2 linked regions of the Drosophila melanogaster genome follow. The protein of the gene in region 2 interacts with the protein of the main gene of each other region in a pairwise test. Each region holds a gene or a part of one and is shown on either strand. Other genes may lie near its edges.

Region 1 (5,264 bases), on a different chromosome or scaffold from region 2:
GCCATTGCCAAGATTAGCAAACTGAGCTCCTTGCAGGCCGGCAAAAGTGCCATACTTTACAACAAACTGCGCCCCCAGATTGCTAACTTTCCGCAGGTGGAGAAGCACAAGTTTCTGGCGGAGAATCAAGAGCTTCCTGCCAGATTAGAACCTCCAACGAGAACTAATAACCAAACGCAGAAAGACGAAACACCAGACATTGTCCTGATACCGAAAAAAGTCGTCACCAAAGTAGAAAAAGCCAAACTGTTGGCCAAATCTGATGTGGGCACCATAATTGCCAGGAAGGAAACACCCGTTCAAGATACAAAGAAACCCACATTCAATGAAAACGTTCTGGCCACGGTGGCGGATGCACAGAAGTTCATTGAACGCGAGTCGCAGGCCAGGAAACTGAATCCTCCTCCAGAAAGTTGTTTTACCAGAAAGATAGCCAAGCACGAGTGGCTGGCCGCACAGACGATGTTCAATCGCAAGTTGTCCAAGGAGCCGGAAAAGGCGTTGAACATATTTCGCAAGTTTATTGTTAGCAAAATAAAGTAACTTCACAAGCGACGGTTAATTACGTTTAGGCACGACATTAAACACAGGTTACCATACCATCAGCCAGCCGAAGACTCTTAAGCGCAACAATTCGCTTTTGGGGATGAGGATTTTTGGTCTAACAGAGGTACACAAATAAATAAGTCGTTTTAATATTTGTTATTAATTCGAGACTCACCTTTACAAACTTCTTAAAGTTCTTGCGGCCGCCATGCTTGTTCACAGAATCCTCAAGAGAAGCATCCACTTCCTCCTGGGAGCGAATGACAATGTTTAAGTTGCACATGCGCACCTCAATGCTGTCTTTCATGGCGGCCAGCCATTGCTCCTCATCGGGATCCGCCTTAATAGAGGTTTCCATCTTAACTGAGTCTGCATCTATTTCGGATTTGATATTATCGTTTAGCCTGCTACACGATAACCAACCACTGATGTCCACTTTCTTGGGTCTATCTCTACGCGGTGCCACTATGTACTTGGATTGCTTCTTGCTTTCCGTTTCGGGTACAAATGGTTCGGTTAACCGGGAATCCTCGTCATCATGATCAGACGGTCTTTCAGAGTTGAAGTTAAACAAGCCATCCGTGGAGTCATCATTTCTCTGAGCCTCTTGCGTCTTTCGTTTCTTTTTGCTGTCTGCAAAGTTAAAAAGATTATCACAATCATCGCTGTCGCTTTCGTTTAGCAGCTCAAGGCGTAAACGCTTGCGCGGTTGTGTCTGGGATTGGGACTCCAATTGGGGTGGCACTGGAGCTGGTTCTTGTGCCTGTGATTTCTCTAGAAAGTCGACTACACTGATTCTGGCAGGTGCATTGCCTTTGCCTGCGATTCTTGGCTGAACCACAGTCTCTGCTGGCTTCTGTGGAGATTTACGGAATTGAAATAGGTCCCCTTCATCTTCTTCGTCACTCGAGGCCACCGATAAAACAGGACGTTTTGCAGGCACTGCATGTTTGTCAGCCGGTTGGTTGGTAATATTTGTGGCCAATGATTTCCCATTGAGTCGTGGTGAAATCCTGGTGGCAACGGGTGCTTCCGTTTTCTTCTTGGCCATCGAAGGGATAGTTGGAGCTGGCGTTTCTTTTGGTTTCCGAGCATTTTCGTTCTCCTCATCCGATGAGTCAACACAAAAAACCTGTTTGGTCTTCCGTGTTATGTGCTTACTCGCAGCTGGAACAGGTGGATGTACGGATTTCTCCTCAGCGATGGCTTTGCTCTGCCTTGTTACTCGTTGAACTGGAGCAGGCGCCGGAGCTGGTGTCACATCTTCTTCCAAAGACGAGTCCAACAATATGGCATTCTTTGATTTCATGGTCAGTTTCGTAGCGATATCCGATTTAGCTCGCTTAGACAATGTTGATTTCTTCTCCTCGTCCGAGGAGTCAACTGTTGAGGCATGACTCCGCTTACGCAAAGAAGCTTGGTCCTCCGAATGGGGCTTAGAAGCATCTTGTTCCATTTCACATTCAATTGACTCAGGCACCACCAGTTCGGAAATGGGCGTGGCATTGGATTGCGCCGAGTGGCGTTCCGTGTTGGGCACAATGATCGAAGAGTTAAAGGCCATCGAGGAAGTTACAGACTCCGTGGTGGGCAATGAATCGGAGATGAACTTGTGCGTTGGGTTGCAGAATTCTGTTATAGAGCAATGTATTAGGGCCATGCCAATCTCGTACTCCTGGATAATACGTCGACCATTCTGTTCCAAAATATCTAAAAATTATAATACATAATAATACTTAAACGCTGTGATGTGAGCAATATATTTACACCTATCTTGTATACTATTGATTGATTCAGTGGCCTGCGACTGGGACGATGGCACATACTGTATGACTATCACATCACTCTTTGTTAGGAATGTTTTGCGCACACCCGAATTGATGTCCTTGCACGTGGCTCCAGCCTTCTGCACAACTGATCCGTACATATCAAAGTGTTTGCGGTTCATGAAGACGAATGTCTTGCCGGCGAAGAGACGGGTACGCTCAGGACGCCAGGTGACATCTATGTTGGTGGGCTGGTAATCCTCCGGCTGAGGCCAGCCCTCCTTGACATGGATGCTCTGCGCTGCCTGCAGCATCTTTCGCCAGTAGGGGAATGTCACAATCGGCTTATTCTCGAGCATAGCGTGCAGTAGTTTCACGGTCACCGAAACTTCGTTCATGGTTAGATGGGAGCACTCTTCGGTCCAGTTCGAAGTGACCGTGCCGCCCATGGGTTCAAGCATCTTCGTGAGCTCCTGGACCTCGGAACGCGTTAATGCGGAGACAGTTGTAACCAACTTCAGTTGGGTCACCTGCCAAATGCTCATGTTTGCGCCAAATCGCAAGCGTGTGCCCACAGGCAATGGAGTCGATGTTTTGGCAGGCACCTTGCGCGGCTTTTGGGAATTCTTGGGGAAAATGAAAGTGCCATATCTGGAGCCAAGGTCCTCGATATGCAGGGTGTCATCGCCATCCGCTTCCGTTTGGATGAGCAGCTGGGCATGATTGCGACTTATACTGAGGTCCTGCGCAACAATTAAATCCGTGGCCAGGCGACCAATGGTGTACACCTTTTTGCCAGGAAACAACACAAACTTTTCGTCATCTATAAAGAGTATTTAAAAAATGAATAAACTAATAATCTCTGTGTTTTAGACCATTTTTACGTGCCTTTAGTCAAAACAAACATAATTTCAAAACATTAACAAATTCAACAAATAGCGAGCAGTGTGACCTTAGCAGATTTGCAAATTATCTACACAGAGACAAAGAAGGAGTGAGAATAATAGGCTACATCACTTTCTACATAATTTTCTAAGTTAATAGTTGTTTCTTAAATTGATTTTTTTCTTATTTTAGAAATCAGGATAATTTTATTATCGATCGACAAACGCTTATAAAGAATTGACAATATAGACTTTGGATTCAAACGTTTTTTTTACTGTTAAGTGACCAGCTATCGCTGCAATGATACCGGAGTTTCCTACGAACGACAAATTAGCAAGAAGAAGCATTTGCAGCCGGTTTGTTTTTGTGTCGTTTGGCTAATGAAAACCTCAATAAACACGATTTATCTGCGATAAATGTGAGTGAGGAAACCTGTAACCATGTCTCACCTGACCGGCACCCGCGTGAGCACCTTCAACGAGAGCTTCCTTAACGAAAATGAGCACGACTCGAATGCGGTGCTCATGGAACTGGACAAGGGACTGCGGAGCACCAAGCAGGGAATCCAGTGCGAGGCGGTCGTCCGCTTTCCGCGCCTCTTCGAGAAGTATCCGTTTCCCATTCTCATCAACTCGTCGTTCATTAAGCTGGCCGATTACTTTGTCAGCGGATCGAATCTGCTGCGCTTCTGGGTGCTCCGTGTTTGCCAGCAGAGCGAGAATCATCTGGACAAGATCCTCAACATTGACAGCTTTGTGCGCTGTATCTTTGTGGTGATGCACTCCAACGATCCGGTGGCGCGTGCTCTCCTCCTGCGCACCTTGGGCGCCGTTTCCCGTGTGATTCCCGAGAAGCAACAGGTTCATCATGCCATTCGACGTGCTCTGGATAGCCACGATACCGTCGAGGTGGAGGCTGCCATCTATGCCAGCAGCTGCTTTGCCGCCCAGTCAAGTTCCTTTGCCATCAGCATGTGCGCCAAGATTTCGGACATGATCGAATCGCTTCAGGTGCCGGTGCCAATGAAGCTGCTCCTGATTCCCGTGTTGCGACACATGCATCACGAGGCTACCACAGCGTCACTGGTTAGCAGACTGTGCATGGATCTGCTGCCCAAATATCCAGCCCAGAGCTTTGTGGTGGCCATCATAGACACGCTCACTCAATTGTCATCACGAACGCTGGTGGGAGTGCCCGGTCAGCTGGATGTTCTGCTGGATTTCATGCAGGACTTAAGGACACCAGTACGCATACAGGTGCTGCGATCTTTCAACGAGTTGGCCGGACGTCAGAGCGTTCATGCCTGGCCCAAGCCAGCCATCAAAGCGCTCATTGATCGTTTTGAATTGTGTACCAATTCCAAGGAGCAGTTCCTCTTCCTCTCAATCCTGCTGAAGTTAAGCGAGTGCCCGCTTACTTGCCAGCAGCTGCTTCGCGAGCATCGCGTAGCCCTGCTCCGTTTGTGCATCCAGTGCATTAGCAAGCTGGACGACTACACCACCGCCACTCAGGCCATGGCAGTTTTGTCGGTTCTAGTAGCATTTGGTTTAAAAAAAAAGGGCAGCGGCGAGCAGGTGGACGATATTCTTCATATGGTCAACCTGCACATGGAAGGATTGCTCCTTTGCACGGCCAAGCGGTCGGAGTGCACCCGCGATCTCCGTAGGGTGCTGACATACGGTATAAGGATCACTAAAGCCAACGCTGAATTTGGAACATCCTTCATTGGGATCGTGACCAATAGCCTGGGAGATAAGGGTGCCTATCCGCCAGCCAATGCGGAACTTATGTGCGAGGCACTGGCGGGTCTGTGTGAGCACTTTCAGCTGCGTAAGTACGCCTTTTCCACCGCAGAAGATTTGATAGTAGACGAAAACGCGATGGACACCGATGAGTTGCCCCCGCCCAAGGTATCTAATGCATTAATACATCTATGAAACAATTTCTAATTTCTAATTTAACCACAGATAAATCCCATGCTAGCTCGTTTGCCGCTCATTCTGCACAAGCTGAACACCATTATCGACCAGGAGAATTGCGATCAACAGTTGCGCAGCGTGGAGATCC
Region 2 (7,649 bases):
ACCAATGCCGAGTACATGGGCGAAATGCTGAACTGATTCTCGATCTGTTTGGGCAGGAAGGCGGCAAATCCGGCTATCACCAGACCCTCCGTGGCACCGGCCAGGTTCAGGAAAAAGAAGGTGGGATTAGCCAGCAGGCTGAGCACCGCACGTGGCAGTCCCCTGACCACATTACTGGAGTCATCCGCTTCCGATATGGTGGCATGTGCCTCGGAAACCCTTTCCAGCTGCAACTTCTCCGCGCCGGGCAGCAACTTGGGATATCCGAAAATGGGCAAGGCGATGAGCAGACACATGGCGGCTGCGAAAATGAAGCCCAGCCACCAGGCTCCAATCCACACCTTGCTGTCGCTGGTCAGGCTGAGTCTGCAAGGGGCCAAGATTGACTCAATATTAGAAAGGATCTAGCTTACTAAGGTGATTAGTTTAAATCGATTAAAGTATTCAAATCAAAAGCCAGAGAAATGAATGCAAACAGAATGGCTATACCTATGATGTTTCCAACTTGGCGTCAATTCATATTTTGTTAAAATGGCTCCAAAAATATAAGCCCAACCACTCGTAAACATGTTCAAAATCATAAACAAAATTTCCATGTTCCCGACATTATTTACGTACTGGAGGGCTAAGGTTGAGCAGACATTATGACTTATGGCATCACCTTGACAATAAGCCATGCGGTTGAATCCGGCCGGATTGGGATGTAGATGGGTTTCCGTTTTGGTGCGACTCTGCTCCATTCCCAGCTATCCAACCATCCAACCACCACCCAACGGCCCACCGTGAAGGTGAATCAAACAAATGCTCATTCTCATTCGCACCTTATTTCCTCGTTGTCAGCGGGAATGTTGTTTTATTACTCTCTGGAGATATTTACACGGCGAGGTGCTTTGTGGCATTTGCCGTTGCCGGGTAACAAATAAGCTCCACAGCATCGAAACCCCCATTCCCATTCCCATTCCCGTTCCCCTTCCATGCTCCACTCCCCCAAGGCCGGTATTAAAGTCACCTGCTCTTTATCTCCATCAGCACTCCCTTTTTCATCCGTTGGCGCTAAGTCGCCCGATTAATAACAATCATTGCGAGCTTATCAGATGCACTTACTGAACGGGATCCACGGTCATCCAATCCGTATAGATGAGCAGCAGTTGTCCACCGAATACATAGCCAATCGCTGGTCCAACGGTGGCCATTGTGTAGTAGATGCCTGCAACAATGAACTTCTCAATTAAACTTTAACTCTACGAACAATTGGATGTGCCATTTGTCAAGAATTCAAAAGTTATTCCAATTATCATTATCAGTTAGTCACATCTTTATTTTGCATGAAAAAGGTCTTGATTCTGCTACTCCTGTTTGTACAGTACGTTTCAAAGTTATAAAGATATTTCAAGATCAAAGATAGTTGCTTCGATAATCTTGCCCAGTATGCAATATGTTTATTAGCTGGATGTGCCAAAAACTATTGAGAAGCGAGTAGCCAATCGGCGGATTGTGCCTTTATTTATTTATCTTTGAAACGCACCGTGCCATCACATCCTGGAGCTACTCCATCAGCCCCAAAAGGGGGGCCTGCCTCCCCGGGATGAAGCGAATTTCAATTGTCTCAATGCCAGACAGCGATATCCAGGAAGGCAAAGCGGCAATGCTGGACGGGTTTGATAATTTCACTGTCGTCTTCGGATGGCACGATAAACCTAACTAAGAGGCAATAAATTTCAGCTGCCGCTGGCTCTGGCCCCCATTCCCAGATCCGCGTCTCAACTGAGTCAGCAACAATCTGGCTCTTTAAAATTGGGTCAAACGAGGGGGGAAAGGAGCGGAGAACCCTCGCCAGGATTGGGATCGAACTGAGAACTCTGGGCGGGGGGCGCAAGAGCAAATAGCAAATAGTATTTACTCCCTTTGTAGCCGACGACGTCGTTTGGCAATAAGGCGAATAAAAATAAATATGCATGTGTGAGCGAAACTAGCAGATACTTTGATATCGCAGCCAGGACACCACCAGCCCAATCCTGCCCAGAAGTGTGGGTATTTGTGCATACTTCATTTGTTGTGCGACTGCGGCAGACAAAAGTTTCGGCGCGTCTTATCAACGGCTGCGTCGTTTGCAACTTACCCAAGTAAACAGATGACATCTTCTTTGAGACGTTCTCATCGATATATGTGACGCCCAGCGTAAAGAGGGGCGATGCTCCGGCACCGTGGAGCAATTGGGCGGCCAGGAAGAGCCACACCGTCCAGGTCAGATTCTCGCTCTGCCCCTCCCCCATTGCGTTCAGTTCGCAAGCGGTCTGCAAGGATATACGAGTTAATCGCAGCGGGTCGCCATGGCAAGTGTCTGCTTACCATCGACTGGCTGGAGTTGGAGTTGAACGGCAATCCCGTTGTCTCGCACACATTGGCCTCGGCAATAGTGGCCCGGTAGTTACCCACCAGGAAATTGGGCAGCAGGAAGACCAGCGATCCCATGCCCATCACAATCAGTCCGATGGCGATGAAGCGCGGCTTGGAGGCACCACGTCGTCCGCCGTAGTAGGTAACTGGTACTAGGCAGGCGAAGGAGGCCAGATCGTAGCCACTGGCCACCAGTCCCATTTGCCGGGAGCGAAGTCCAAAGCGACGCTCGATGGTGGAGATGGACACATTGATCAGGCCGTTCACGATGAGACCTGGAGGGAAAATAAACTTTTCAAACATTAGTAATGAAGATGGAATGCTAGGAAAAACTATATATTTAGATTGGCGACTGGATTTTTTAGATAGATAATCCTCTAGTAAAACTCGAAGTGGATGCCTTCTTCCATTGCAAAATGTGTAGCAAGCTTTTTAGGGCAAGAAATGTCAGATTTATTGGATAAATCTATTAAATATAAACTAAACTAATTCGAAGATGGATTGAAGTTTAAGATGGATAGGATTTCATCTCTAAGACACCTTTCGCTCAACATTTTGGCATCCTTCTTTAAGGATCATCCCCCAGAGGCAGAGTTATGACATGGTGTTGTATGTTGTAACTTCATGGCAGACTATCAACAGATTGTCGCAAAAAAAATAGACCGTAAGGGTGAGGGCGGGTGTAGTCCTGCTGACAGTGCAGAGGGGAGGGGAATTGAGTGCCACGGGGGCGGGTCATAAATTAAATATCTGCACGACAAATTGATTTTGAGGGCTTAGGCGAATTTTCTATCATAAATAAATATCTGTTAGTTGCGGGCCCGCCCACCCCCGCCACCTGCTAGTCCATTGTTGCTTAGAATATTTCTTTTTTCTACAACAAATTCAATTTATTTTTCAATAATCGCCAGAAAGAAGAGGTCTGCTGGTCATCTTTGGCTGGAAAGGTGTTAGAAAGCGGAGGAAACTTTGTAAAGGGAGCATTGGATATATTGTTAGTGGATGGGGACACTTACAAGTCATTTACCCCACTAAGTGCAATAATTTAATAGATCCCAATGGAAACCTTGAGACGGGGAAGGTTTTACTCGGGAGTGCGAGTGCGAATGTGACCTTTGTCACTTGAAGTATAAAGTGAAGTGTAGACGGCTGTATTGGATACGTGACAATCTAGGATTTTGCATGTGCATCGATGCATTTTCCTTGGGATGCGTGCGATGCACAAAGATACAAATTGTTTGCCTAATTAGCAGTAAAGATATTTACATGAAATTATGAAAAATTTAAAGAGTATAACTAACTGATTAGTACAATAACATATATGTATCTGAAGATTACTGCCTATGCATTTATCAAAGTTGATCTCTAGAATCGTAATATACACATGTTCACATCTTCCGCATAACTGCCATTTCTAATTCATGCATATGAATTATACGCCTAAATTACTCATTTCCATAGGAAAACGCTGAACTCGTAGCCATAAAAACAACAATAAACCATTTGAACTGGATGCACGACGAACGCGACCATCCAAAATTGTTGCGGATGATTTATGTTAATGCCGTGTCAACTGATTAATATTTTCGGTCACGTGCCGCCTCATCCGCATCCGTAAGCCGAGCCACGGGCGGCCGGCTGGTTGTTCCAACTCTGTGTCACCCACATCCAAACGGAAGCCTTCGCACGTCGTGGGTCAGTCGGAGGCGGGAGCAGGAGCCCATTCCATTCCATCCCATCCAGCGGCCAAGTGCAACAGATGCCAGCCGGCCATTCGAGCTGCAAGAACTGCATGGATGGACTCAGTTTGCTTACAGCACACGGCCAAGGCATAAATACTGGGTCGGCATCCTGGCGGAGATGTTCGCGTGAAGCCCTCCTCAACCGATCAGAGCATTAAGAATCCTTAAAGCCTTAATATCCTTATGAACTATTTAAAAACTGAAACAGCAGAGTAAAAAAGTAGGTCTTTGGAGGCCTCTCATGGATCAAGTACTTCCTCAAGGATTAGCCTTAAGAAAAACAGGATAATAATCGAATCAAGTTTTGGCTTCTAGCATAGTGTTCCCTCACGTTTGCATCTCCATGCTCGCTGGCAGCCATCCAAAAGTGGTAGAGCCGAGTGCACTTTTGCAAATTTCATTCAATCGCTGGAACACAGCCTAATCTCCGGAATCCCCCGGAACAGCCATAAACGTGTCGTCAGCTTTCGTGAAATTGGCGAATTTTAATTAACCGCTTGAACCCATTAGGAGTGGGAAAACTGGTGACGAAGCTAGGCCGTAGCCATGGGCATCAACCAGTACCAGCACCGGCTTGGTTCAGCCGGGGATCTGGTGTTGGGTAAACAGCGATTAACATTGTTTTGATTTATGCCGCTGCCCTCTCGCTCTCCGGATCACGCCTCCTCCCCGCCTAATGCCATATTCCATATTCAAGGGACTGGGGCGCCCATAACCAAATCCTTTGGAAATCGCTGGCAAAACTGGGTCCATTTACACTGCCAGTCGCTCTTTCAAACTATTCAAAGTGCGGTGATTTTTTGAGGTTAATGCATCCTCGGGCTAGAGCATCATCCGTACCCCGACTGCTCCAGGCATTATTAATTTTTAATTCGCCTTCATTCACAGGAGCTACGGCCGGGCTCCAACTCCATGCCCAACTCCTTGGGCGAACTCTTATCTGTTGCACACAGTCCTGCTGGCCGAGCCTGAGAATGCCCAGGATGCTAATGAAGCGATGCGGATGTCCTCATCGCCTTCGCATTGCATTGTCTTGGCCAACTCGAGACTTCTCGGATACACAGGCTCGCTGAAAGTTTTCTTAGCAAAAGTTTGTCTTGTAATCAAGAAAAATATGGCCATGTTGATTCAATATACTCCAGATGGCAAAGGTGGATCGGTGTCTGCCGTGCAAATAAATATTATTCCAAGCTCTTAAGTCGCAGGACAAGTTAGCCAAGTTAATTATTCTAGATTACCAATGTTGTTTCAAGACTTTAAACCATATTGAAAAAGTAAAGAACATTTCTACATAAATTATTCATTGTCTTAATCGCTGTCTTTGTTATTATGATCATATCCAAATGATAATTTTATATGTATATATATTTATAATATTAAAATTTAAAAACTATGTTACTCCACTGTGATTACAATGATTAAGTTAACCGCTTAACCGAGAAGAGATGTACACAAAATTCAAGAAGCAAACGAGCGTGGGCGCAAAATTCGCGCGACGAACCATTTAATGGAATTAAGTAAGCAATTCGGAACGAGAAAATATATCACCTTGGAGAGCACCGCCCCAGCAGAGCCAGAAAAGAGCCCATTTGGCGGTGCAGAAGCGCTGTAGCCACGCCGGATTCCAGCCGCACCATCCAAATCGCTGGCACTCCGCATCCGAATCCGGTCCGGAGATGGAGCTGCCCACCCGACTGGAGCGGGCACTATTGTTGTTGTTCACATTGGAGCACTTGGGTGCCACGGCGATGCTCGAGTCCAGCTCAATGGTAGCCTCCGACATGGTTTCTTTCACTTTCTGGTGCCGCACAACAAGACGCGTTACGAATGCCTCTGCGATCCGCACCGAACGACGGCCGGAAACTGACTGAGCTCAGATATTCAAACAGCAGCTCAGCTCAGCCCGACTTTGCTGTTAAGGACTCGTCGCTAACAGCGGTCTGTTGAAGGAAATCAAACCACCCTGCTGTGCCTGTACCGACACCCACTCGGAACATCTCGGATTCATGAATGAAACACCAACCCGCCCACCCACTCATTCAGCTTCGCTCCACTCCACTCACTTATTCGCACCTATCAACAGTTGTCATGGCGCTGCTTTCGTTAGCCGTATTATCTGGGGAATTGTGAGGCGACGATGGAGCAGGCGGGGAGCATGGTGACTCCTCTCTTATGAAATATAAATTATATTCCCCTTTTGGCAAATATTTATCAAACACAAAGAATTTTAAAAAGTGACCCACTTAAACTCATTTATAGTTTCATTACAACTTTCATGTTTATTCAATAAATTTTTCGGTTTAGTAGTTTTTTTCTTCTAATTTATAAACTTATTTTATGTAAAATAGGTACTAAACTTGCCAATGTTAAATAAAATCATAGCTATTGACAAAAAAAAACAAATTTTTTAAGCGAAGAACAAATTATTTAATTGGTTTGCTGGTGAATTCAGTTGGCCAAAAAAAACGGGGATCTAGTTTAAGGCAAACTTCTAGCGACCGGTAAGCACCAGAAATATCAACTATTTGTAAATTAAGTACAGTACATTTTTTAAGTAATTCCACTTAACTGATGAAGATACGTTGAAACATTTTGGAAAATATTTGAAAAATTTGTTTGCTTTTGACTACTTAAATACGTACATAATATATAGATATATACACATATCCATATTGTTACACTTAAAGTATTAAACAATAAAATAGTAAACAAAAACAAAAATCGTTAACAAAGAGCAAAAAAAAAATATATATATCGGAGCTCGGTGTAGCTTCGTCTAGACTCCCCATCTTCCAATAGAGAGTACACACGCGGTATTTACAAGATCTTCCATGAATCAAAGTATGTTTACATGTTATTAAATATATATGTATCTATATGTGTGTGTGTGTGTGTGTTGCATTTAAATTGTATCTATAACGTTTAGGTAGGTCCATTAAGGGCTGACATCTTGAAAAGTTGCATGGTTCCGGGAAGACATTGGTGTTGATGGGTATGGCTTGAGCAAGTTTACTTAGAGCAAAAGTGTTCGAATGTACACACCCTGTACTTAACTCATATGGTATGGTTTGGTTATAGATACACGTACAGTGAACGCTTTGGGCACTACGACAAATATCACATAATGAGATCAATTGGATTTATTTTGGGTACTTTTGTTTTCGTTTGCGCTTCATTTCCGTTGTTAAGTTTTGGGTTGTGAAATAAGTATGTACGATTATTAATTGCACAATGTCATTGAACTTAAGACTTCCTTCCGTTTCGTTATTTTCATTCTTGGCTGGTGGGCTAATTACATTACAAACAAAATAAGTGGCAATTCGTAAGCTGATTAAGTACCTAATTTATGTAAGCAGTTGTTTTGAAAGTTGTTCCAATTCGTAATACTTCAGTTGAACCGATTTAGTTTGCACTTTAGATTTGAGTTGAGAAAGCGAGAAGAAATTAAAATAATGAATTGCACTATACATAGGTGTTAAGTAATCCTATGGCGGGAGAATTTCCCTTAAT

Evidence for each region. The genes of interacting proteins can lie anywhere in the genome.
Region 1: the proteins of Oatp26F (region 2) and nbs interact in a two-hybrid assay, tested with the Drosophila melanogaster proteins (one large-scale study listed by BioGRID).

The regions. Positions count from the first base shown.
Region 1 is NT_037436.4:9,719,905-9,725,168, forward strand, and holds nbs (nbs), read right to left. Parts: upstream 3,291-5,264; 5' UTR 3,220-3,290; coding exon 3,201-3,219; intron 3,136-3,200; coding exon 2,314-3,135; intron 2,257-2,313; coding exon 722-2,256; intron 662-721; coding exon 581-661; 3' UTR 544-580; downstream 1-543. Other genes in the region: CG14174 (uncharacterized protein), read left to right, coding at 1-543; defl (deflated), read left to right, coding at 3,638-5,107, 5,165-5,264.
Region 2 is NT_033779.5:6,626,397-6,634,045, forward strand, and holds the start of Oatp26F (organic anion transporting polypeptide 26F), read right to left. Parts: upstream 6,012-7,649; 5' UTR 5,923-6,011; coding exon 5,688-5,922; intron 2,673-5,687; coding exon 2,350-2,672; intron 2,295-2,349; coding exon 2,120-2,294; intron 1,208-2,119; coding exon 1,105-1,207; intron 367-1,104; coding exon 1-366.